Linked DNA regions of Nothobranchius furzeri. The protein of the gene in region 3 purifies or fractionates together with the protein of the main gene of each other region. This does not show direct contact. Links are inferred from orthologs where the notes say so. Each region holds a gene or a part of one and is shown on either strand. Other genes may lie near its edges.

Region 1 (3,500 bases), on a different chromosome or scaffold from region 3:
GACCGCCGACTCTCAGGCACACAGCTCGGATTCGGTGAGACGCCCTATCAGATCCGTTCATCGTGGCCATAGTTTAATTATATGTGATACTGAAAATGAGCTACGGCTTCATGCTAATAGCAAAGCACACCAGTTAAACACGGGCAGCGGGTCGTTTGATACGGACATTATCTCATGGAGGCAATTAGGTTGCTAGTTGACAAGTTATTAGTCTGTAATAGCCGCTGGAGAGATATGAGTTAAGCATGTGTGTGTGTGTGTGTGTGTGTGTGTGTGTGTGTGTGTGTGTGTGTGTGTGTGTGTGTGTGTGTGTGTGTGTGTGTGTGTGTGTGTGTGTGTGTGTGTGTGTGTGTAGGAGGAGGAATCTGATCCAATTCCGTGTGGAAGGAAAAGCTCTGGAGAGGAAACGGCCCTTCTGCTGGCTGACTACAAGGATAATGTTCTCAGGTACAAACTCCCACATGAAATTTAAGAACCGCTCCAGTTACAGTTGGAACATTTTACTGATGTTTACGTTTATATTATGTGTTCCAAATTAGGCTAAACTGCCCTCGTTATTCTCAACAATAAAAATCGACACGTTGATGCATCAGTCTGATAATAACGAGCTAAGTTGGCGATTGCAGGGTTTATTTCTCTGTTGACCCCTGGGATCCTGAATGCATAAACTCATATTTACGAGCATATTTTCACTGCTGTATTTGTGTTTTTACTGATTTTTTAATGTATTTAAAGCTACAATGGCATATCTGCAAAACAAGATAGCTCAAAACGTTTTTTTAACAACGTTCTAACTAGGGGTAGACCGATGTATCGGGCTGATATTTACTGTTTTTTTATATATTGTATCGGTCGATATCAGTGAAGCCGATTTAAAGTCAGGAGCCTCCTGCCCGGTGCTGTTGCAGATTTTTGTTTAAATGTTTTTTTTTATGTTCACTAATAACATCTGCATAATAAATACTCAAAATTATTTTATTTAGCTGTCTGTAACAGTGAGCAGTGCACAAAGTTAAGATTGAACAGTTGGTTAAATTCAGAGTTCCAAATCTCATTCAGCTTCAGATATTTTGTGCATCAACTGATGTTATTAGTGACATTTTAGCATGAAGATAAGGTGGAAAATGTCTTGGTAATGGCTGTGAAAATCGGCCCTTGAAAACCTGCAGTGCATCCGCTTACCATGCCTCCTACATATCTGCGTCCGCAATAGAAAAACCAATATCTGTCGACCTCTAGTTCTGTAAACATATACAGTACACTGAAGTTTAAAAAAAAAATAGTGAAGCGGTTCTCTCACATTTGTCTAAAGATATCAGCCAATAACACGGCTTGGTTTGGAACCAGCGATTGGACCATCCGGTTGTCTGTCTCACCGAGTCCCAAAAGGAAAAGCAACATTTTGAGTTGTGGAAAGCAAAAGACGTTTGGACCTAGAAAATTGCAACTGCTGTTTGGCTCTCTCTCGTTTCCTGTTGCTGTGCTTTCCTACATCATGGAGGTGTGGCTTAGCCAACAGGAGGTGTGAGGTGTTTGTGTTTAAAGATCAAGTCACCCCAAATAAACATTTTTTGCTGATAAACTACATAAACGAGTGTCTGATCGTGCTGTAGACACGTGTAGCCAATAATTTAGTACTTTAGTGCATCTTAGTTAAACTTTTAATATTTTGCCTAAAACTGTTAGTATTCAGGTAAAAACTATGCACTACATTTTAATTTAACTCTGACATCGCTAGTGGATGTACACTATGGCATTAGCTGATACCATATGATGTCACAATGCCGCTGTGAGCCTGTGTGTGTGCTTGTTTTGTTAGAGGCTCCGGCCTCTCGGTCTGCCAGTCAATGCCTCCTTGTGGCGTATTTTTCAAACAGGAAATGGGAGTGGAGTTAGACCCTGGTGACTTGCCCTTTAAAAGCTAGATTGTTTTGCAGATTTGCCATTGCTACTTTAGTTTTGTGACCTCAAAATAATAAATGTCACAGATGGTTTAGCAAATTAATTACTAGTTTTATAGCATCTTAGGCAGAAATGAGGACTTTCTAACACTCAACAGTCTGATGTTTTGGTGCAGGAAAATATCTAATGATGAAAAACAGATAAGAAAATTAGTTTGGTAACACTTCACAATAAGGGTCCCATTATTAACGCTACTTAGTGCATTATTAAGCATTAATAAACTATTTCATAAAGTATTATAAACTGCTTAATAATAATGTTAAGTGATGCATTACCAATTAGACATTCTGCCTTGCCATGTATCCTAACCTTAAGCACACTTGATAGTAAACAGTAACGTGTTACTAAAGAGACCCTTTGTTTATTAATGTTTAATAATGCACTAAGTAATGTTAATAAAGGGAACCTTATTGTAAAGTGTTGCCAGTTGGTTTTAATCCAAAAGTTGTAGGGATCTTTCCGTCATGATGACTGGTTTTAAACTTCTGCTGTACTTTAAGAGCTCGTGAGTTGATTTGTGTGGATAATAAACTCCTGCAAACCAGCTCACGTCAAAACGCGGTGGAGTAAGAAATATGTTTTCTCCCGGGATTTTAAAAGTGACACTCTAAATGATTCCCAAAGTGGAAGAACGTATTAATTATACGAACTGAAGCACAGTTTGTTACTTTGCCTCTCTGGCCTCACAGAGGAAGCTTCTCACTGAATTCAGAGCCTGCAAATGCTCACGGGCAAAACGCGGGCCGTTATTTACTGTGACAGGCTCGCTGTGGCTGGAAGATGGAAGTTTTGAATATGTGCTCATAAAAGAAGTTGAGTCAGGGTGAAGCGGGGGAGACTGTTGGAGACAGAGTTGGAGGGGTAAGATGGGAGGACGAGGGGACAGACAATTTGACAGCAAGCTGTAGCAATGATTTACCTGAGGGGTGTGCCATAGTCACGGGCCAATTTTCAGCATCGTTAAGGCTCTCATTCTCCCACTCAGCTGCTCCTGCAGTCTTAGCCTCCTTATTCAACCAGTGTGTGTGTGTGTGTGTGTGTGTGTGTGTGTGTGTGTGTGTGTGTGTGTGTGTGTGTGTGTGTGTGTGTGTGTGTGTTCTTTTGAATTTTAACACACACTTTCTGCTTTGTGCCTTCCTCCAGTGATCTGGCTGACACTTCCCTATGGTGACGAGAGGACATCCAGCTACGACAACAAGAGGACTTTGAAGTTTGTTGTGGAACCTCCAAGCACACAAACACAATGTTAATATGCAATAACTTTATATCTGAAGCCAGCCTCATTTTTTCCCTCTCTAGATGGTTTTTGTCTCCACTCTGATGTTTCAGAGCCGTGGAAGGAAAGGATTTAGTTGAATCATTGCTGTGTCGAGAGCTTTACGACGGATGTAATGTCGTTTTTATGGGATTGTGATTAGGAGCCGCGGCAGGCGCTGTAATTATGATGTTTTGTGCAAACTCGTCTTCTTAGGAAATCACAGCAAAATCTGATCAAGCATTACATTTTTGGGGGAAACTTCATGGCAGCATCAACTATT
Region 2 (3,500 bases), on a different chromosome or scaffold from region 3:
ATCATCTGAGCTGCTTTTTAAGATCTAGGTAAACTTGTTCAATTTGGGGTTAAAAACAAACATTTTCATATATTTTCCATGTAGTTTTTTTTTTTTGCCAGCTCCTCTTCTGAAAGGTAGACAATTGTTTTTCTCTTTCCCTCAGAAAATCTTAATACTCTCCTAGTTTGGCCCAGCACAGATCACTTTCCAATTACAGCAGCAGCCTTATATCATAACCACATAAGTGGAGAAAATGCTCAGTAGCAATGAGAGAATTTGCTGTTGCATTTAAGTGATGTTAACTATTATTTAACATTTAAACTTATTTTCAGATTTTTTTTTTATTTATTCTAAAAATCCTGGTAAGGGATGTTTTTCTGTATTTGGAGCATCAGGAAAAAGTTTTATGGTGGAGGTGATGTTTTTAAGTCACTGAGAACCTGCATGCATGCAGTTTGTTGTTTTGCTGCTAATACAGTAGCAGGTGCAGCTGCATATTTTTGCAATAAAAATGTTATGTTGTAATGGAATTCATGCATTAGTTTTTGTTTGCTTTGAACCCAGAGCAGACGTCACACGCCAGACGACATCAACACTGCATACTTTAGTATTTGTTCATTTATCGTGAGTAATATCGATATCGCAATATTAAGCACCGTTATCGAATATCGCAGGTTTTCCTAATATCGTGCAGCCCTAATCAATAATAATGCAGTTTTATAGTAATTTCAAAAACTGTCATGAAACTTGGACACAAAGATGTCATGCATAGACCAAAGGTTAAACAAGCAGAGTAAGTGGTCTGGCGCTCGGTGTATGACCTTGGACGTCGCTGCGACTCTGGAGCAAAGGTGACTTCTTTTTCTTCCCAAATGTCCTCTTCATCTGAACCGGCATCATCAAACTGCTGAATTTTCTCCTTACAGCGAGCCTCAAACAAAGCTAGATTTGTCTGGAAAAACAAACAAAAAACAGAGGAAGCACCCTTAGTGGCTGCAGGTGGGGTTTCAGATATGCACCTCTAAGAAGACTGCTAGGATCAATAATCAGAGTACTTACACTTTCAGTTGTATTCAATGAAAAATTGATGTCTGATATTCTATCAAAGGGAATACTGCAACGTCAAAAAGAAAGACAAGTTTAACTTGGGTCATGAGGAACACTGAAAGAAAAACACTACTGATTATATCCAGTTACTCACACCAAAATGAGGTGACATGCTGTTATAAATGTGCCTCTGTCATTACCTGCAAACTTGGAAGGTGTGACCCTTCCCTCAAAATGTTTGTTTAGAAAGAGCCATATGTGGCTTCAAAAATGCTGATTTTCACCAAGAAGCGACACGTTTCAGCTATGTGTAAATTGTTTGTGTAGATGTGATGGCGGGTCCAGCGAGACAGAAAACATGACATTTTATTACTTACCAAATCAAATAAGAGATTATATAATGAATGAATGAATAAAACCCCATATAACTAAGTGTTACTTCAGAGTTGCACAGTAATGTTCAGACAAGTGCAGCCATGCAGGATGAGTACTCACTCCACAACATCGTCCTGATCTGCAAACTCTTCGTCGTTGAAGCCGAACTGCTCAATAAAATTGGAGGTCATTTGTTGCATCTGATAATCAGAAAAGGCCTGGCAGAACCCAAAACCAACAAGTTTTTAAGCTTGGCTCTAAACACAGCTCCTCATTGCAGCAAAAGCCTAAACACGTATAACAATCCCAGAGTCTGGCTGTTCAAATACATTAGGACTCCGTCTGAAATCATATTCTGCTGTTTAAAAATAAGAGGAGTCAAGAATGCTGTTAAAGACAAACTCTAAACTAGCAGTCATGCATGTAAAAGCATTTTAAAACAAGAGAAACTTTGGCAGTAGAGAGAGTTATTGAGTACGAGTGGAAAATAATTATTGTGATGCAAACGGACACAGAGGATTTGGATGTTATACATCTGAACTCATAGGGGTGTAACGGTACGCTAAAATCGTCATTGGTTTGGTGTTTTGAAGAGCTCGGTTTGATAATTTTGGGTATATTATTATTATTATATTTAATATCCGAAGCGGCTCCTGCAGTGATCAGAACCAGGAGTCATCACAGATCTAACATGATGTCTTTAACTATTTCACAGGTCATTTGTGCAGCTATGAGAGTCACGCTCATACAGACGAGTGTTGTGTTTGACTGCTGATGCTTTCCCAGGGGAAAGTTCAGCAGACATGTTTGTTTACAGTTTTGCCGCTGTGTGTCTGCACACTGTTGAGAGGGGGAGGGGCGAAGCGACGCTCCGTTCAGCGTCTCTACGGGCTCCAGTAGCAGCTGGGCGTGTGCAGCCATCATGCGTCACTCAATACAGCGTCCGTGCAGAAACTCGCCTAGGAACTTTTATTTGCTGCACTTAAATCACGCAAATAACACTTCATTATTTAATGGAAAAATTAACCCAAACAAAGTGGACCAACAGTGAAACTCACTAAGCTAAGCTGTGCAGCTCACAAATACAAACGGTCCTTTTATTACCGCTAATGGCAACATCTTTCTACTAAAACTACGTACTCAATACGTCCCCCTACTGCAACCGGTTACAGAAGAGTTTTACAAACATTTACATGATCTGACAAACTTAACTGGAATGAGGACACCGTTTGCACATGTGGGTCTGGACTGAGTGTGTCTGGGTCTTACCTGTTGAAGTGAGGAGTCTTGGTGAAAGCCACTGTCTTTAAAGTCCACTTCATCATCACTGGAAGAATGAATGTGTTGTGTGTTCACCTGAGAAAATATCCATTTTAGTGTCAGACTCGACTGTTTTTTAAAGATCCAACACTTAATTAATGGATCAAAATGCTTTTTGGCATTCACTAAACTGCCAAATCAAATTCTGGCAGTTTCTGTTTTCTCATCAAGAACTATATCAGGCACCGTGCTAACTATTTACTCCTGCTGGACTGGCGTTTCACCGAGTCTTACCAAGCAGAATTAAACATTATCTCATTGACGTGGTGGCTAGAAACCCCAGCTAATGTGTTAATGACAAACAGAGGGAGCTTCCTCCAGAGAAAATTCAGGTTTCCTTTCATTAGCTCTTGTGTTTCCTCTAACGTTATCTTACATATATCACAAATGGTTGGGATTAGACTTAAACGCAGCATGTCGATAAGGTCACTCACCAGGTCGACTGTGTTTCTTTTATTTGTGTCAGCGAGCTGCCCAGAAATAAACGCCTCCCATTTCTCTCTGTCCGCTGCCGGTAACTCTGTGACACAAACGGACTTCCATAAACCCGGTGTCCCAGATTTCACTCAAACAACTTTCATCCTGATCTGTTCACAGTGTTTGCTCTGTTTGACAAATCAAATGAATTCTGCTGGTTGTTTTAAACCTAAAGACAACAAGAAAAGTGTGAGTCCTCACCAGAGATGAGCTGCTGTATCTGAGGTCCATTGGGACCTTTCTCACTGTTATGAACCACAGAATTGGCTATTCTGGTAAGGTGACCCATGTAGCCTCGT
Region 3 (4,155 bases):
AGGACCCCCAGGCTCCAAAGGTCCACCTTTTCATCATGGGTTTTGCCTTCAATCATTTCTGGGGGCAAGTAGTCAAGTGTTCCACACAGAGTGGACCTTCTGCAGGGGTAAAAACATTTCTAAAATAGGACTTTATTATGCAAGGACAGAAAAGATCGTCACACAAAGAAAAACCAGACAACGATCCTCAACATCAGCAGACCAGAGCCCATAAAACACAGTAAGAAGTTGCATTAAACACATCTGCGTACCTGGATGAAGGGGTGTGAACAGACCAGCCAAAGTCAGCGATCTTCAGCTCCCCGTTGCCTCCCAGGAGCAAATTCTCTGGTTTGATGTCTCTGTGGATCACATTCTTGATGTGGCAATAGTGGAGAGCATCTGCCAGCTCCATAATGTACTAATAACACAAAAGAAAAAACAGTAAGTGGAATTAAGAGTACACCTTCAATAAACCTGTGGAATGTTGACTGTGTTTGAAGTTTGAAGTGTTTTTAACTTACTGTTGCACTCCTGTCTTCTGGGAAACTTCCACACTTCTGCAGCTCGCCGTACAGCTCTCCCTTAGGTGCAAACTCAAGGATGAGATACACACGGGTCGCATCATGGAAGTAGCCATAGAGACGAAGGATGTTCGGATGCCTGTATGAAACCCATGCAGGAGAGAATTCTGTGAAACTGTCTTAAAGGAACTCAAGACAGAGGATAAAGTTTAGATTGGTGTTTTATTGTAATTTTCACATCACATCACCTGAGATGAGACTGAATCTCCACCTCTCTCCTCAGCTGGTGTTCCACCCCAGCCTTCTCAAGCTGGTTCTTGAAGAGCACCTTCAGGGCCAAGATGAATTTAGTCTGACGCTCCCTCGCCAAGTAGACGTTCCCAAACTTGCCCTTCCCCAAGGGACGGCCGATATCGAAGTTTTCCAGGCACCACCGCGTTCTGCATTTACACAGCAGTACAGAGTTAGAAATCCTATTCTGATCTGTTGAATTATTGCACAAATAGAATGTAGAATGTGCACTTGACGTACTTTGATGGGGCCACCTGATTAGTCTTGGCAGGTTTGTCTTAAAAAAAAAAAAAAAAAGGATATTTTAGTGTCTACAACAAACACTTGCTTATTCTTGTTTATTTTAGAAATGTGCATACTCTGTGGCTTTGCCTGCTTTGCAGGATCAGAGGGAGGCTTGGCACTGGGTACATGGGTCGTCGGCTGGTTTTGCTGGGAAACAGGCTTTGGTTGTGGTGGATTTGAACATGGTGTAGCAGGGTTTGCATTCTGGTCAGCAGGCTGTTTTGACTTAACAACAGAGACCTGAGACACTGGTTTCTGATGACTGACTGGCCGCTGAACGCGCTGGGGACCATTGGACACACCGAGGACTCGTGGCTGAGTTGGTGTGACAACGGCCTTTGAGTTATGCGATACAGGAACACGCCTCGGCCCGTCACCACTGGACTGCAATCACAAGAGGTCATTAACTATTAGAATCAGATTTACAGCAATTTTACACAAAGTGATGAATGAAAAAATAAGTAGTAGGTCTAGAAATATGTAGTTTTAAAAGATATTTCATACTTCTCTACCAACATTCTGGTTTGGATGTAGATCCAATGACAACTTTTAAGTGTTTCATTAAATTCCCTCCAGTGGTCCATGAAACGTTTTTGCAAGTTAAGTAAGCGAAGATGTTCAGCGTTATAGTGGTGCAAGATTGGGAATTTGGGATTACTCAGACTGTCGCACCAAAATTGAAGACCATGTATGTAAAAAAATGTCTGAGCTAGTCATTTCTGTGATTGCTAATCTTGATTAGCTGTGGCAGCCATCTTGAATCAAGAGTTAAGTTAGTCAATCCAATGATTATTTCCCAAGTTTAGCTGTGAACTACCCAATGACTCGTGAGATATTCCAATAACACTAGAGACCAATCAACACACAAGCCAACAATAACAGAACATTTTGCCATCAATAATACAAGATTGAATGACTGACTTTTCTTTGTACATTACTTCTAATTAATATTTGCCCACATATGCTTGTGTAAGGCACTACGTTGCTAAATTTAAGTTTAACCCAGAGCCTCAAGATCAACATGAGATTTACGTGTCAACACCTGGCTGACTGTTTTATATTAAACTAGACTTGCTTTACCTTTACAACAGGCCTTGGAGGTTTCACGAGCCCTGCAACCTTCAGCGTGGTGGAAGAGTCCATAGTCTGAGAAGACATCAGGTATAACTCAAACATGACTAAACTCCACCACTACTAAAATAAAACTCTCGTGGCAGCTTTCTTCAAAATAATAGTGACAAAATGTAAAAGTAACCCCCAGCATCCACTCTGGCACGGTCATTCAAACGTATAAAGAGAACAGCTTCGCGTTAGCCTAGCCTAGCATAGCTGCTAGTATGTCAAGTCGTCTGACACAACTGCTGGTAATAAAGACAGGTTAGTTTAACTACTCACCTAAATAGTATTGCACGATAACCAAATGAGCAGCAACTAGTTGATTGACCCTAAATGAAAGCAGCCCCCGAGCAGGTAACCCTTTACCCAGGCTTGCTAGCAGCTACATCGATCGGTTGAACAGGTAATGTCGATGTCTTCTAATTACATGTAAGGCAAACAGCAGTAATCAAACAATGTAGCAATATCCGTGTCGTAAACTATGGTTTGAAATTAGCTAACAAATTTTAGTCACGCAAAAGTGCGTACTCTGAGGAAAAATGCTTGTCCGGAGGACACTTTCCTTAATCGCAGCCTGTTTAATTTCAAACGTCCCTCTGTTCAAAACCTTTAAAGAAACAAACGGCTTTCATTGGTTGAATGAATGCTCTAAATTCGCCTTCCATTGGCTGTTATGATATGAAAAAAAAACGGAAACAGGATGACGTAAAAAGAATCATTCCAACCGGTAGGGGGCAGTAGAGGAATGGTTGAATATGGAGTCCAGGAAAAAGTGCTCCTGAAAATATCAAATTTATACCTTTAGCAGTCCACGTTTGACCAATTTCCCAATTGTTTACAAATTTCTGATACATGTGTGCACTTCACACATTTTTCATTTTATTTTTAAATAATCGAATTTTGTATTGATAAGTGGAGAGGAAAAGCTTTTTTTACAGTATGGTATTTGATGAATAAAAATCTTGAAAAGATAATAAGAACTAACATTTGACAAAGCAATACCACTGGACACTGTTTTTCACATAGAATTGACATTTTATTGCCACATCATGCACTCGTGCACTTTCCACAGACATCTATGCAAGCTACCTTTAACGTAGAATGTGTCCTAAAATTTTACAATCAAGAAACTAACATTGCACTTCTTAAAACAGTTTTACAAAATAAATATATTAAATGTTACAAATGCATACAATAAAAAAGTAGTGCAGCCACTTGAAGACCCTCTCAAATGCACTTTGTAACCATTCGAGAATTTAGATCAGCCTCCACAACATGTGCAGCAGAGCTTTGATACTAAAATGTGTCACTGCAAAGGCCTCAAGATGAAGGTAAACAGACAGGATCTAGTGTGGAAGCTGATAAACTGGTCAAGTTCCTGTTGGACACATTAATGTCCACATTACAATGGCGCAACACTTGAGAAGGTCTTCTAATTAAATATAAATATGGCAAAAACATTGATCCCTTCCATTGAAATAAAATAACTAAGTTATAACAGAGTACAGTCAGAACCAAGTTGCTTGTTACAGAGAGGCGTTACATGAATGCGGTCCCACAGGAAAAAACTTGAGATGTTTTTCAAACATAAACAGACATAACTGTTAAACTTTGAATCCTCATATTTTAGGTCTCACCTTAGCTAATCAAACCGCACTTCTTACATTTATAATTGACACAAATTGCATTTGAAATCTGCTGACAAAAATATTTCTGCCATCTTAGTTTATTTGCAAACCCCTCCACAAATCTGGTTTTCTTCATACTATTTTCTACCAGATGAAACATTGTTGACATTCTGAGGTTGTTACAAAATAAAAAGCACATCTGGCAAAGGTGTGTGCGACAATCTGGCTAAAACGCTGCATCTGCTTTGGCACTTGTTCTCCTTTCCAGTTCCACCAGGTGCCTCTGAAGTCTTCTTGCCAATCCAAACATACAATGGCGGAGGTATTTAAAC
Region 4 (3,500 bases), on a different chromosome or scaffold from region 3:
TTACAAATAAATTCTTTAAAAATCCTGCCATGTGAATTCATGGATTTTTTTTCACATTCTGTCTCTCACAGTTGAAGTGTACCTATGATGAAAATTACTGACCTCTGTCATCATTTTAAGCGGGAGAACTTGCACAACGGTGCCTGACTAAATACTTTTTTGCCCCACTGTACATAGGCCACCTCCTCCGCCCAATCCATGCTTGTAGTCACTGCCATTCTGTTGCCCCAATGTCAGCAGGGTGCACATCTTAGTGACGTCATGTGTTTTTGCGATATCGCGGTATTGCAATTTAGCCAAAAACACTATCATTACCCAATTTTAGATCGTTTCTACCTTATTTCGTTTATATTGCCCACCCCTACTTCCCACACACACATTCTCTCTCTCTCTCTCTCTCTCTCTCTCTCTCTCTCCTCTCTCCTCTCTCTCTCTCTCTCTCTCTATATATATATATATATATATATATATATATATATATATATATATATATATAAATAAACTATGAGACCGGATGTTTGGGGCATCTTGCCACAGTTATAACTGTTTGACTTGTTGTTCATTGTCTCCTTTTTCTCTCCGACTACAGGGAAATAGGTTATTGATAAACTTACTGATCAAATCCATGACAGAACCCATCTGTGATGAGTCATAAGCCACCTAATCTGGTGGCACATCAGGCCTTAGTCAGTTTCTTTTTACACAGCTCAACCAGCTCAATCACAAAAGGTCTCTGTTGTGAAAACTGCTAAGTTATAAATAAACTATTAATGAAACTTTTAATTTAAACTCATAACAGATCCTTCTATAATACCATGCACATTTAACCACAGCTCAACAGAATGTGTGCAAAGCCAGATGGCTCCTCCAATGGGCCATTCCCATCTGTACCGGGTCGGCCCGGGCCGGGTAGCCCCAGTCGGCCCCAGCCTGGCCCGGTTGATTCCACACATCCTTGTCTTAAGCCCATGTGGGCTGATTCTACCCACCAATCAGAGGCTTGCTCTAATGGAAGGTGTGAATTTGCTGTCAGCAGTGGGTGTGTTGGCCCTGGTCGGCCTGAAGCAGACCCCCTCGAGAAGAGGGCTGAGAATGAGCCTTGGTAGGCCCGGAAAAATACCAGGCTACCCAGATATGTAAACAACCTACGCTACCCGGCCCGGGCCGACCCGGTACAGATGGGAATGGCCCACAAGTGACTAAGGCCCTGATAAACACACCTGGTCGGTCAGCTGTGTCAGATCACAAGAGGCCCAGGGGAACTAAACCTGACTGAATTGAACAGAATTGTAATGGAGAACAGCGTCTGAATCACAGGATCCACTAAAGAATAAAAACTATACGGATCTAAATGTAAGAAATGGTGCTGAACACAAATGTGTGTTACTCTAAACACTCTTTCACATGAAACTTTGAACAGTTTACTCTTTACAAGTGCTAAACAGGATGTGCATTTTTGGATTTCAGATATAAAATCATGTTTCCCAATCAAACATGAAACAAGTTTCTGACTAACAGTGTTGAGTTTTACAGTGCTGGAGCATTCTGGCCACTGGGTGGCGCTGTTGTTTCAAACAACAATGCAGCGCTGGTGCAGAACATTTTCAGAAGTTTGTGAGACTACAGGAACATCTGGCCAGATGTGATTGTAAAGCTACTCACAGACGTGCAGAACGGCTAACAGGATCCATTAAGCTGCTTACCTTCTTGTTGGAAGAACTTTGGTGTGTGAAGAGCGAGTCCTGATTATTCCTGGGGGCAGACACTTTGTTCCTGAGAGTGGGGGAGCGGAGCCCATCTCCCACCTCCTCCTCCTCCTCCTCCTCCTGCTCAAACTCATCACTGTCTTGGTCCATCTCTTCGTCATCCTCCTCCTCCTCTTCCTCCTCACCCTCATCCCTCTCCTCCTCTTCCCTTCCTTGTTCCTCCCCTCCCTCTGTCCTCTCCTCTGTCTCCTCCTCCTCTTGGTGGCTGCTGCTATTGTTGTTCTCCTCCTCTTCTTCCTCTTCTTCCTCCTCTTCGAGGTGCGGCTGGCCTCGGAGCGCTCTCTGCTCTGCTCCCCACACCCATCGGACTCCTTTATAATCCCCGGTCACTTCATTTAGCTGGCCTCCTCTTCTCTCCTCCTCGTCTGCTTCTCCTTGAGGGCCGTTGCTGGCTCCTGACTCGGCGGGTGCCCATGGCTGCTCCCTTTCATCATCAACCTGTGACGCATCCGGCTGCAAAACGCCACAGAGAAGAATAACAATGACCTTTTAGGGAAACCCAGTTTATGTTCCAACATGCACAAAATAAAAAAAACCTCACCCTCTGCTGTGGCTGCTCGCTTTCCTCAACCACCCGGTTGATGTGATCATCTTCCTCACCCTCCTCTGCTGCCTGCTGGGGTGCCCGGGCCGTAGAGGAGGCGTTACCTCGTACTGCCTGACCCCCGGGGCCCCGGCTCCGCCTGCTGCTGCTGCCCCCCGACAGCAGATCCTGGTTCATTTCCAAAAGCCAGCTTGCTACCTCCTGAACCTTCGCTAGGCTGTCTGAGGAGGGGATGGTCTTGACATTCTGCAAAACACAAACAGAACACTTAAGCTATGCTTAATGCATTGGTTGTTATTCCTCATCTTCTCTTAAACTGTCTGGAGTACTTTCCATAAAATCAGCCAAGTTATTAAATATTATTGATGTGGAGAATTAGCTTGTGGGAAACCGATTGTGCTGCTCAGCAGCAGACAAGCAACAGTGATGGGTGTGATTGTGTTTTGGGACAGGAGCCACAACGTCAGAGATAAATGTAAACAACTCTCTTGTAAGTTTGTCAAATTACAGAAAAAACAATACGTCAAATACAAAAGCTAAATATTGTTTCACTGTAAAAGAAGATGAGAGCTGCAGCTCCAAACTTGTCGCTCCACACAGTTCTAAAATATCTAAAATCCAAAAGAAAGCTGCTGTTTCATCTTTAATCAAATAAAATTTAAAGTTTACTCATTTAAGTACGTTCTTAATAATTAAGGGACCTGCTGCTGCAGCAAGCAGGGACCTTATTGTTATGCACCTGGGGAGTTTTAGATATTAATATCCGTTATTATTCTTCCGCGGACGTTAACGCGGCTCGAGCGGCAGCGTGCACCCCCACAAATTATACATCAAAATAAACGGCTCAGCAGTGGGAGGTGTGCTTTTACTTTTCTAAGCATTTTGATTTATGATGGTGAAATTATTAGCAAAAAACATATTCTTTTATTCATTTTGAGTGTGTCTAAATTTGCATTAACTTTGCATGATTATGATTTAATTATGTGCACAATAATGGATGAATTTGATGGCAGGCCTTCTAAAGAGGCATTTTTTTTACATGTGTATGAATGTTATCTTGTGCCAGCTGGCAGGTCCCTTTTTAAAAATTCTTCAGGAATTTTCTAGTTAGAAATTGTAATTTACATCAGGCAACATACTAAACCCTGAAAGTTGACAGATCAAATCAGATTCTGTAAATTACCAAAAGT
Region 5 (3,500 bases), on a different chromosome or scaffold from region 3:
TTATCAGTTTTAATAGCAGTTTTTTTGTTTTGTTTTGTTTTTTTGACAGGATGAGCCCTCTATACTAGCACATCTTCACGGTAGACCATCCACCGTTAAGCGGCAGTGTAAATGACATTGCTTCCAGAGAAGAGGTAGTGCCGTTAAGCTAACGAGAGAGTCACGAAAATGCTGCTATGGGCCTCCGGGTGACCTGACAACTAGAGTCACCGAGCTTCCGTTTTTTATTATTTAGCTTGTAGATGATAAAATGATGGATCGGAGGTAAGAGTCACTTGTGTTTGGGGGAAAGCGGTGTCAGGTAAAGCGAAGCCTGTGTAAACCTGCCTTGCTGTCAAGTTGGCAGACGGCTTGTTTTTAGCTGAATGAGAGGAACGCCGTCCCACTATATCTGCTGTAGCTTCAGGCTATGATAGATTACCGACTTGTTTGGGTTGGAAACGTTGCATTTCTCCGCTCCATGTTACCAATGCGAGTCAGCTTATGCTAAAGGGGGATGGTTTGTGATTTGCATGCGAGGTAAGTGTGAAAGGCACCGTCGTTTCGTTTAGCGCAGGAGACAAACGAGGATGTGAGTTAGCTTGAAGTTGTATGGATAAGCTAATGGGCATTAATTAGTTTATAGTGGCATGACCGTTAGCTTGTTGTAGCAGACATATTTAATAGCTAACCGTTAAGTCTCGAAAAAGAGGCCCGTGAAAGATGGTGGGGTTGTTTTATTAGCTACATTTAAAAAACAAAACACGACTTATTGTTTTGCTAACGCTAGTTTACAGAAACACACGTTTGCTCAAGAGATTGTGTACTACTAGGGCAGTGTGCTCCCCCAGTGTGCATCAGGAAAATGAAGTTAATTGATTTGTTTGTATTTCTTTTTAGACAAAAACATAGTTTGTGGTGGTATATGTGGCCACTGTTTTGCCTTAATGTTTTATCAGCCATGCTTCCAGCCTAGTGGCTTATGATGGGCTGGATAAATGCTAGGCAATTATGGATCCCTTAATGTTTCTGTGGTTTAATAAGCTGAGTAAAGCTGTTACATAGAAACATCTCAGATAAGATAATCCCCTGACAACTTCAAGTTTGTACCAACACAGATGTTAACCATGCAACAACGAAGAAGAGCATCTGACACTGCATAAAGTTTCACTCTACAGTAAATTTTTACCCTCTGCAGTACATTTTTACCCTCATTCTTGACCCATGTTGCCATTTTCTGACATCAAATGCCACTCCCACTGTAATGTCAGAGCATAAATGTTCTCCAGTAATTAAATTACTGATACTTTGCTTTCTCCTTTCAGAGAAACGTGTCCACACTGAATCTGACTTTGTGTATTAGTTCTAAAGGAGACAGAAGAGAGCTTCACTGACAAATTATGCTTAATATTTTTGATGTTTTCCTGTCTATCACGAGTAGGATGAAGGCATTCGCTTTAGAGTTTATGCATCTTGCTAGCATGAGTGGTCTGATGTTTAGTAAGATTACCCTGAAGGTACGACATTTATAAAGCCTGTTTGTGTGTATTTGAAATTTGTTTTTGCACACGTTATAACCTGTGACCATCCCCCCCCCCCCCCCCCATAACAAACTCAAGACTGATAGAACTTAGCTATTTTTTTAATCTCCATGTTAAATCCCCATTTGTCTTCAGCTAAGTGTACGTTTTGGTGACGTCCGCCATGTTTTGGAAGTTCGACTTGCACACATCCTCTCATCTGGAGACCTTGCTGGACAAGGAGGATGTCACGCTCTCTGAGCTCCTGGATGAAGAAGATGTTTTGCAGGAGTGCAAGGCCCAAAACAGGAGGTCTTTTTTTTTTTTTTTTACACACAGCAGCACACAAAATGACATCTGCCCTTTCAGTGCCATAAATCTAATAACTTGTGGATCTTTTACCCTCCATCATGGATTTTCTAGACTCATCCAGTTCTTGTGCCAGGACCAGTGCATGCAGGAGCTGGTTCGGCTGACTACGACAGAGCCCCCTGCTGGTGCAGACGAGACTAAGCGCTTCAAGTAGGGATTTATTTGTGCTGAAGTTGTACAGCTAGGGGGAAAATGGGTTTTGCTGGTGCTGCACTATATTACAATGTTTTCATGCAACTGTATAAATGGTTCTAGACCACTGAAAAAACAATTAATGAAATTCCTAACCCAAATAACAGATTCACACATTTATAATGGCCAAAACCTGTGATAATCAACTTAGTCCATACATGGAAACGGCTATACACTCACTTTTATGTGAGCACATGAAGTGTGATTGTGTTCTTTTGTTTCTTTTATTTTTATTTCAGGTTTCCAAATGTTGCATGTGAGCTGCTCACGTGTGATGTGGGGGTGATAAATGATAAACTGGGCAACGATGAGACACTTCTAGAAACTCTTTATGCTTTCCTGGAGCAGCCATCCCCTCTTAACCCGCTCCTGGCATCTTTCTTTAGCAAGACAATTGGGAACCTTATCACACGCAAGACTGAGCAGGTACTGCACACACACTGCAAAATCAAATTACTCATAAAAAGTTATGACTACATTTCAGTGTTGCCAGCTTACCGCTCTGACTCTTACCTCTGAGGCCTTAGCTGCGCCTTTACTCAAAGTCTTGCTCTTGTGTATGATCTAACATTATTTGTGCTCAAAAAGCTCCAAGATTTGTATATTAGTTTGATTGATTATCTGGCAGGTTTAAACAACATATCTAAAGAGCAGCTGGAAAAGTTTAAAAGCTTGTTTCTTATGTGTTGTCTAAAAGGAGCTCAGTGACCTCTAATCTAATTGCTTGACTGACTGTTGCTGTGGAGATTTTCCACGTAATCAGGCTCACATTTTTCAAATGTTAAGAACCAGAACTGAAGCATGTTTTTAATCCACTAATGGGTTTATGTAGGTTAATATGACAGGTGACAATATGTGTGAATTTGGATTGTATTACATTTCTGAGTTTAAGATGTAAAAAGTATAGAAGAGGCTTGGGGCCACTGAAAAGAAAAAAAGAAAAGAAAGAATTCTGACTTTTTCTCAGAATTCTGACTTTTTTTTACTCAGAATTTTGATTTATTTTCCCCCTCAGAGTTCTGACTCTTTTTTTCAGAGTTCTGATATTTTTCTTAGAATTCTGACTGTAATCTCAGAATTCAGATTTTTTTCTCAGAATTCATTTTTTTTTCATAATTATGATCCCCCCCCCCCCCCCCTCAGAATTCTAATTTTTTTCCTCAGAATTCTAACTAATAATCCCATAAAGAGTCAGAATTCTGAGGAAAAGGTCAGAATTCTGTCTTTTCTTTTTATTTGTTTTCAGTGGCCCTAACCCTCTTCCGTAATACAGGCAATTGGGATGTAAATATATTTATATGATAAATGACCCGCACTTGTATAGCGCCTCTCAGAGTAAGGACTTCAAAGTGCTTTACACTACAGTGTATCATTCATCCATTCACACACACATTCACTCACTGGTGGTGATAAGCTACGATGTAGCCACAGCTGCTC
Region 6 (3,500 bases), about 10 Mb from region 3:
TGCACAAGGAATATTTTGGCCACAGGGGGCGATGGGAACTGGGTGGCCTTTCATTAACCTTGTAAATGTTCATATTAGCACATACTGGCTCAAGAAAATCATGTAAACATATGAAAAAGTTGCAAAGTATCCCTTTAAAGGTGTGGTGCATTTTCCACCTCTAGATGGTGCCTTCTGACAAAAAACTCTTTGATTTCTGCTTCAATGGAGGGTAATCATGACACTTCAACATTGTACTCACCACCAAAATATCAACAGCAGCACAAAAACACAAGAGATCACATTTAATTAGCATTGTTCATTATCATCAGCACTACAAACCCAGTCTCCTGAGAGGGTAGTAAATACCGTAAAGAAAGCCCAATAAAACTCTGAGCAGAACCATCGGTACACCACGGGTGCAGATTTAAAGCCCGGGTGAAGTGAGATGGTATTGAATCTGTGCCGACTCCTCTCACTCAGGAGGCTGGATTTGCATCCGTACAGCGTGGCAGACATCTGCCCATCCTACCTTGTTTGCCAGCCCTGTGATGCTGACCGCCATTTCATCTAGCAATTTGCCATCTTTGACCTGGATGAGCCAAATTAGGATTAAAATCTTTCAAAGTCACAAATGCTGATAGTCAGTAAGTTTGCTACAAATATTCTGTTGTGAAGATTTATCTTGTTCAGATGAGGAAAGTGATTTTGTTTTAACGGCACTAATTAAGACAAAAAGTGACACAGGTAGACACACACATACCACACATTTGTTTAGTTAGCAACGCCAGCTGTACATTAAAAGACTAAATCTATTCGCCTTAATCTTTCTGGATTTCTAAGCACCCAATGAGATTGTTTTGTTTTTTCCATAATTTCATGAAGTCACTTCTAAGGTGCTTTTTCGGTATTTGTTTAATTTAAAAAAAAATCATTGTTTTCCCATTTAAACACATCTCAGCAGCTTCTCACTTGATAGTTAAAACTGAAGGTGTTAAGCAGAAGTATTTATTTCAGAGAATATTTACCATCACCTTATATGGTAAGGTAATATTTAGGTCAAAGAAGAACCCAAGTAGAGAAAGTTTGAAGTCAAAACATCTGCAAAGATGTACACAGATCAGCTGACATGTGTCCGTGTCTCGCTGCTGCCGACAAACCGGCTCTGACAGAATGTAAAACACCCCGAGTACTGATCTCTACTGTTGGGAGTATAGATCAGTTTGCTACCCACCCCATTTCACCCTGTTGGGCAAATACATGTAGCTGTTTAAATGGAGGATTGCTGGTGCCATGTCAGAGGTGTGATCAACCTGTAGAGATGTTTCAGCGTTAATACCAACCTTTGTCTTCCCTCACAGAAACGAACAGACTTCAGCTCTCAGAGGCCTTACCGTTACGGCCGATCAGTGTACAATTTTCAAACGAGGAGCTGCCGATTGTGTTTATTTATATAAAGAGAGTTCACAAAAACAATCTCAAAAACTAAAAATTATTTTCCATTTTTTGGGATCAATAAAGACCGGCTTAAGGGTGCAGATTATTTAAAGATTAAACCTGATTTAGAAAAACTTATCAGTTAATTTATTCCTGAATAAAATATGTTTGCTAAATGCCACCAGTGTATCTTTGTAAATAACACTGAACTGTAAAGCTCGTGTTTCACAGTAAATTAACTGTAAGATGAGACAAGTGTGGACCAAAAGCATGGATAAACCAAAACAGATCTGGAAAAGAGGTTTGTTGATCTGTGGAACAGCTGCTCAGATCAACCATCTCCTCTGTTCAATAGAAAAACTAAATTAAGCCCTAAAACACATCAGCCTTTTACAGCATTTAGTATAAAATAATCCCACACCTAAATTACTTTCTACTTTAAATACAGGTCAGCCTCTCATTCAAATGATAAAAAAGCAGATTTTTTCTCAGAAGTAAAAATTAAAAACGGTTATTAAAATGTATTTAAAACTGACAAAAACCATTTAAAGCTAAATCCAGGGACTGTGTTATGACTTATGGACTCAGATGTTCTCCGATAAACCGTTCACAGCTGGATTTGGCCCCAAATCTACCAGCTGAGTCACCGACAGGCAGGAGAATTTTTTTGGCCCATTTAAGACTGAAGACTTTGTCTTTTAATGTAAGCTGGCACAGCAGAGATAAAGATGAAGAGCAGCACAACGCAGAAAATAGCACATTCACATCTGAAGCTGTTTCTTGTCTAAAGCATTGCATCCCACCACCAAATCAACAACTTCAAACATCAATGTTACCTTTTCTTGAGTAGGTTTGATAACATTCTCATTTAAAGTCTGTCCTAACTCTGTGGCCTAGTTGGGAGTCAGAAAGGAGAGTTTACTTCAATAAAACATTTTAACGTTCACATTCCAGCACGATGTTCTTCAGCTGCATCAAGAGAAAGAACATTTCTATTCACAGAGACAATGAAAATCAGCCTCTAGAGGGTGTAATGGTCAAAAAGATAGAGCTTTTAATTAGATTACTTTGTAAGGACAGCGCTGAATCAACATTCATTATTCTCTGGCTTTCAGGTTTTATGGTTCACATAAAATCAGAGCCTTTTTCTACAACTGTTCCCAAAAGTTGTGAAAATGACTCAAATATAAATCAGTGTAGTTTGTCAATGTTCTGAGTTAAAGACCAAGTTCACTTGTTTTTCAACACAATTGCAGTGGTCTCTCATAAACGAATGCTTTGTTAGACGATCTCTGTGGGAAAAAAAGCTCTGGCGCTCATGTTTCAGAGTAGGAAGCAGAACATGGCAGACTTGAGTCTTATGGTGCATTCGATTTACCTCTGAAGTCCGAACTGGGAATGACGTCACACTCGAATAAACCGCATTTTGGTTGCCGTAGTCAGAAAGGTCGAGATTTCATTATGGCGATATCCTGGAAAACTGCTGTTTTGTCAGTTCTCAACGAACGCAGACGACTAATAAACACATAAATCTACAAAACATATTTGAAGAGAAAAGCTTGCATGCGCTACGTGTACCATTGATTTTAAACAAACTCTTATGTGTCTTGTACAATAAACACATTTCAACTAAAACTGTTGTTGATACGAAGAGCTGCCATTTAGGATGTCTAGGTCAAAGTTCTGAAATTCTTCCCAGTTTCCGACTAGGAGGTCCGACTTTGGGGCCGTTTCATTTAATTTTTTCTACTTGGAAGTCGGGATTTCCAAGTTCCAAGGACAAATCGAACGCACCATTATTTCCTGATATTTCTCACCGCTGATTGGCTAACAGCAACACGACTACCACCGATTCCATATACTTTGCAACGTTGATGTTTTACCTCCACAAATAACACAAGCCTGAAGGAGTTCTGCTGTGTGGTGGAGTTGTTAATGCTAACAGTTAGCTTCTACTAGCCAAGATTTTCTGTTTCCTGGACACTAAACCAACACCAGTCTTCCCCATCGAGAGACAAGATGGATCAGTCCATGAAAGCCAGTTCAGTGCGAGGTAGATCTGCGTTGCTTTTCTAATTCAAACA
Region 7 (4,104 bases), on a different chromosome or scaffold from region 3:
TTACAATAAACACTTGATGTAGGGAACGACTATGTTATAACCGTTTAGTAAATAATCACGAGGAAGTTGGATGGTTATGAGCATTTCAGCGGTCACGTAGAACAGTGGTTTGATGCAGTTTTGTAATTCATCACAGATGCGTGTAGACTGGAGTTGCCTGGAAGAGGAGGATGGGTATTTTTAATCTGTAAACTTGCTCTCTAAAACACTGTTTAGTTCACTACTGGAGCTACAGATTCTTTACAGCTAGCGTTCTTACCACCATATTTTGTGCATAATATGCTGTATGATTTGAAGTGGCATTTCTTATGTGAAAACTTCATTGTCTTTTATAGTAATAGATACCTGACTGAAAAAGAAATGTATTTACCTTGACCATCATCTTCTCATGTAAAGCTCATTTAATTGTTTTGCATGCAAGTCATTCTGGTCTCATGACAAGGTGATGGACTGTTTTTTGTGTTATTGTTTTTGAACAGGAACATTGATTCAGCACTTAAGGTCTTTTTACAACTGTGAAGTCCATGCATGGTGCAGCTGATAATTATGGCTCTTGCAAAGTCATTGCAGTTCTTTGAAAACCGGAAGTTAACGATGACCTTTTAAAGATGGCTTCCAGTTTACTATTTAAACCCAAATAATTTTGTGCCATATCATATGCCTCATGCATTTTCCTCACAGATATGTTTAGTGGTGAAGTGTGATCATAGAGGTGTGGGACTTTTTGTATCTCAGTTCAGAAAAAGCTAAGCTTTTTTTATATTGTTACAAGAGCTATACACATAAAATGGGTTTAACAATTGACATTGGTCACTAAATTATGATGGAGGTAGTCAGCGGAATTTGAATAGGGCGATTGGGACTGTGACGACATTTACACGCTGGGTGTGGGAGGTTACCTAAAGGAGAAAACGTCTTTTGAAAGTCAGCGGAGAGCAAATAAAGAAGTGACTTGCAGGCTGAAATTACTGTAATGCCTCACGTGTTAGGCTGTCAAATGTTAACGAGTGAACAATGGTATGTCAAGCCTCTGGGAAATAAAATTACCTATGTAAGCCATCAGTCAGACATCACTAAGCTCTTGCTGTGTCGTGTTATTTCTTTATTCTTTAGGCATGCTCACATTTAGATTCACCACAGATGGATGCTAAAATACCAACCCCTTCCTCTCGCTTTAGTGTGTGTACAGCGCCACGGTCTCATTGTTATTTCGGCAAACCGGGGAAAACCCCATCCAGTGTTTACATGATCGGACCGCGTGGTCTGCTCGAGCCCCGCCCCCTCGCGCAGCGTCGCACTGACGACGTTGCGTCACAAGCGCGAATGTTGTTGGGCTGGCGATTTCGCGGCGGCGATGGCGACGAAGACTCGGCGCTGGAAGAGGACGCACTGAGGCTGGCTTCAGCTCGGATATGACTAATTCCCGTTTGTTTGAGAGCAGTTTCCTTTTGAGTTTTTGCATGGGCTTCGGGTGAATCGCGAGCTTCTGACCACTTCGCTCCTTTCACGGGTGAGTCTCACCGGCTGTGGCGAGCCTTCGGTGTGTTTTGACAGAGGCCTCTGTCCCGGGGTCCGCCCTCCATCTCATAACAAAAACAGTTGCAGAGAGCGGCGCTGCTCTGCTGGGCTGTGGTGTGGTGCGGTGCAGCAACTAATGACAAACATCGACTGATAGGAGCCGACTTGCCGTACTTAACAGGGCTACTTTAAATCCTAATAACACTTACATTTAAGCCTTAGCATGCTAATGTTGCTGAAGATTAGCATGCTAACTGTTGACGTTAACGTTAGCTACAGCGAACGCAGCCGAGTTTCCTCTGATAGGATGTTACCACCACTGCTGCTGGCTCTCTCTAGTCTGTAACAGCTAGCTAGCTAGCTAGTTAGATGATGCTGTCTCAGCTGTCTTCACACTTAAACGCAACCATTATTATTATTATTATTATTAGAGCAACAAACTGCCAGTAAAACAGTAAAATTAATCATTAGTGGTGCTGCGCATGCTAACACCATATGTAGAGCCCGGAGCCTGTCACGGACAGGAGTAGCTCTAACAGGCTTAGCCCTCCGCGTGAAGTCAGCCAGACTCCGCTCGTAGGCTTGTAAACAGAGACGTGAGTGGGACAGATAGGCCTTATCAGGCGGCGGCAGAGCCGAGGCCGGGCGTCAGGACCCAGCTCTCGTTGAGTTGGACGGGATTGTGTCTGTTTGTAAGGACTCGTCTCGGACTCATGAAAAGATGTGTTGTTCTCCCGAGCTGCCACATCCACTGACCTCTTTAGCTCAGGTTTCAGTCTCTGCAGGAGCAGATGACCTTTGCAACCATTTGTTGGGCAGCGCGCTGAGATATTCCTAACAGACCATGTAGAGAAAAGACTTTATATACAGTTTACTTTAGAAAGCATTAACATCTCATTCTTGAAAAATACTAATCTAGTGAGTTCAAACACTAAAAGATGTTGGGTTGTGGTAAAAGGAGCCACGGATTCTGGTGGCAGCAGGACTTCACCAGGGCTGCTGGTGTTTTGGATGCACCTCTCCATCACCACCCTGAAGACGAGATATGAAAGTTGTTTGGTTTTCTGTGACGATCTGCTTTCACATCCATCCGTGATATCCAGCAGGCTTCTCTGGGTCTGACTTTGGTGGTGTCTCAGCTCACGCGCACGCCGCTGTGATCACCACTACATTTATTTTTGCCAGGGAATCAAAGGGGCTTCTCTAGCCTGCATCTCTATAAATACGGCTTCTTCTGTTTGCAAGGTATGAGGATGTTTCAAAGTGAAAGGTTTTTCTTCATTATGCATTTTAATTTCCACAGATTTTCATGTCCTGCTTGTGAGATTTTCCCTACTGGATCAACAGGAGTAACACCGTCCACCGCTGATACTCTGCAGTAAGTGTTGTACTGTATCTGGGCCATCTGCAGCCGTCAGTGTCTGTAGCTGTCTCTGTGAGGTGCTTCAGGCTGCCATATTGAATAGATGTTTAAATGTGGTCATGTTTACCTTTACCTGGTCATTCAAGTCAGTTTATTACCTGGAGAGGACGTCTTTGGGCACGTTGGTTCACACCATCGTCCAAATGAAGCAGGATAATCTTTGGATTATTATTTTAGTTTTGTTGTACATAATTAAATTTTCTGACTGGTTTTCAGAGAGTCGCTGAGCTCTTGCAGAGTTTTCTACCACATAATTACTGGTTTTAATTTGCTGCAGCTTAGGGCCTCTGGTGTTTTCTTTCATTTTTTATTCGTTTGTTTTTTCTGTAATCCCGTTTACCTTGAGGTATGATATTTCCAAAAGAAATTCTTTGGAAGTATTTGGGAAATCTATTTGCATCCTCCTCTTATTTAGCTGCTGTTAGTGCAGAGTCATGTGAGGATTAGAATCCTGTTTGTTGCTGCTGAACGAGCCTTGATGCCTGCAGCTGACACAAACACACTGGTGTTCTGTTAGTTCATGTTTCTGCTCCTCACCAGGCCCGCTCCGACCAACCAGCTCTTAGATGTGTAGCGTGAGATCAGCTCCGGATAGGACCAAATCCTTTAGAGTGTCGAAACATTTGCTTGTTTTTATATCAAGTATAGAACAGTACTGGATCCGCCTGAAGGTTTTAGCTAGGGATGCACGGTATCAGGCCGATACCAGTATTGGTGAAAGGTAATCATTAACAGGAACCGATACCAATGCAGTTGCCTGAAAGTGGCTTCACTGTCATTTCTGTTCACCTAATATTTTTGTTTTTGATCATTTCTACTAATATATTTTATTTTCCTATTGAAAGCAGAGAAGAAAATAAAACCTGTATTCCAATTCATTGCATTTTTTTGTGTGGTAGAGGTTTCGGTATCTGTAATTGGTATCAGCGAGTACTCAGATCCAAGTATCGGTATCGTATCGGTTTGGATTATATCGTTGCATCCCTAGTTTTAGCATTTTCAGGTTTTATCTGCATTTTACTTTTCTTCTTGCAGCCAGATGATATTTTTTAAACATCTCAGATGTTTTATTACTGAATTGAACAAAAACAGTTAAAATTTCTCTGGAAATAATTGGAAACAAGAAAGGAACTTTAATTGTGCAAATGTTTTACATCTCTCTG

Evidence for each region.
Region 1: the proteins of aurka (region 3) and calcoco1a purify together in Homo sapiens (affinity purification with mass spectrometry; 3 studies listed by BioGRID and IntAct, counting the BioPlex papers as one, with this or other methods). This does not show direct contact. The link is inferred for Nothobranchius furzeri from reciprocal best matches to the Homo sapiens genes AURKA and CALCOCO1.
Region 2: the proteins of aurka (region 3) and ppp6r3 purify together in Homo sapiens (affinity purification with mass spectrometry; 6 studies listed by BioGRID and IntAct, counting the BioPlex papers as one, with this or other methods). This does not show direct contact. The link is inferred for Nothobranchius furzeri from reciprocal best matches to the Homo sapiens genes AURKA and PPP6R3.
Region 4: the proteins of aurka (region 3) and fbxw7 purify together in Homo sapiens (affinity purification with western blotting; 5 studies listed by BioGRID). This does not show direct contact. The link is inferred for Nothobranchius furzeri from reciprocal best matches to the Homo sapiens genes AURKA and FBXW7.
Region 5: the proteins of aurka (region 3) and ppp6r2b purify together in Homo sapiens (affinity purification with mass spectrometry; 4 studies listed by BioGRID and IntAct, counting the BioPlex papers as one, with this or other methods). This does not show direct contact. The link is inferred for Nothobranchius furzeri from reciprocal best matches to the Homo sapiens genes AURKA and PPP6R2.
Region 6: the proteins of aurka (region 3) and arfgap1 purify together in Homo sapiens (affinity purification with mass spectrometry; 3 studies listed by BioGRID and IntAct, counting the BioPlex papers as one, with this or other methods). This does not show direct contact. The link is inferred for Nothobranchius furzeri from reciprocal best matches to the Homo sapiens genes AURKA and ARFGAP1.
Region 7: the proteins of aurka (region 3) and mtmr3 purify together in Homo sapiens (affinity purification with mass spectrometry; 3 studies listed by BioGRID and IntAct, counting the BioPlex papers as one, with this or other methods). This does not show direct contact. The link is inferred for Nothobranchius furzeri from reciprocal best matches to the Homo sapiens genes AURKA and MTMR3.

The regions. Positions count from the first base shown.
Region 1 is NC_091755.1:25,999,863-26,003,362, forward strand, and holds part of calcoco1a (calcium-binding and coiled-coil domain-containing protein 1), read left to right. Parts: coding exon 1-34; intron 35-355; coding exon 356-447; intron 448-3,105; coding exon 3,106-3,133; 3' UTR 3,134-3,500. UniProt on the Homo sapiens protein: Functions as a coactivator for aryl hydrocarbon and nuclear receptors (NR). Recruited to promoters through its contact with the N-terminal basic helix-loop-helix-Per-Arnt-Sim (PAS) domain of transcription factors or coactivators, such as NCOA2.
Region 2 is NC_091754.1:42,088,315-42,091,814, reverse strand, and holds part of ppp6r3 (serine/threonine-protein phosphatase 6 regulatory subunit 3), read right to left. Parts: coding exon 3,403-3,500; intron 3,245-3,402; coding exon 3,159-3,244; intron 2,761-3,158; coding exon 2,674-2,760; intron 1,623-2,673; coding exon 1,525-1,622; intron 1,097-1,524; coding exon 1,042-1,096; intron 935-1,041; coding exon 804-934; intron 1-803.
Region 3 is NC_091743.1:61,016,374-61,020,528, reverse strand, and holds the start of aurka (aurora kinase A), read right to left. Parts: upstream 2,801-4,155; 5' UTR 2,724-2,800; intron 2,677-2,723; exon of another isoform or gene 2,475-2,676; intron 2,226-2,474; 5' UTR 2,223-2,225; coding exon 2,160-2,222; intron 1,464-2,159; coding exon 1,154-1,463; intron 1,072-1,153; coding exon 1,035-1,071; intron 944-1,034; coding exon 752-943; intron 643-751; coding exon 504-642; intron 401-503; coding exon 252-400; intron 100-251; coding exon 1-99. UniProt on the Homo sapiens protein: Mitotic serine/threonine kinase that contributes to the regulation of cell cycle progression.
Region 4 is NC_091747.1:80,809,342-80,812,841, forward strand, and holds part of fbxw7 (F-box/WD repeat-containing protein 7), read right to left. Parts: intron 2,557-3,500; coding exon 2,308-2,556; intron 2,220-2,307; coding exon 1,704-2,219; intron 1-1,703. UniProt on the Homo sapiens protein: Substrate recognition component of a SCF (SKP1-CUL1-F-box protein) E3 ubiquitin-protein ligase complex which mediates the ubiquitination and subsequent proteasomal degradation of target proteins.
Region 5 is NC_091744.1:70,734,890-70,738,389, reverse strand, and holds part of ppp6r2b (serine/threonine-protein phosphatase 6 regulatory subunit 2), read left to right. Parts: intron 1-113; exon of another isoform or gene 114-264; intron 265-379; exon of another isoform or gene 380-519; intron 520-1,655; 5' UTR 1,656-1,683; coding exon 1,684-1,811; intron 1,812-1,922; coding exon 1,923-2,021; intron 2,022-2,302; coding exon 2,303-2,489; intron 2,490-3,500. UniProt on the Homo sapiens protein: Regulatory subunit of protein phosphatase 6 (PP6). May function as a scaffolding PP6 subunit. Involved in the PP6-mediated dephosphorylation of NFKBIE opposing its degradation in response to TNF-alpha.
Region 6 is NC_091743.1:50,667,414-50,670,913, reverse strand, and holds part of arfgap1 (ADP-ribosylation factor GTPase-activating protein 1), read right to left. Parts: intron 2,310-3,500; coding exon 2,253-2,309; intron 572-2,252; coding exon 512-571; intron 1-511. UniProt on the Homo sapiens protein: GTPase-activating protein (GAP) for the ADP ribosylation factor 1 (ARF1). Involved in membrane trafficking and /or vesicle transport.
Region 7 is NC_091757.1:28,521,842-28,525,945, forward strand, and holds the start of mtmr3 (myotubularin-related protein 3), read left to right. Parts: upstream 1-1,304; 5' UTR 1,305-1,510; intron 1,511-2,821; 5' UTR 2,822-2,896; intron 2,897-4,104. UniProt on the Homo sapiens protein: Lipid phosphatase that specifically dephosphorylates the D-3 position of phosphatidylinositol 3-phosphate and phosphatidylinositol 3,5-bisphosphate, generating phosphatidylinositol and phosphatidylinositol 5-phosphate.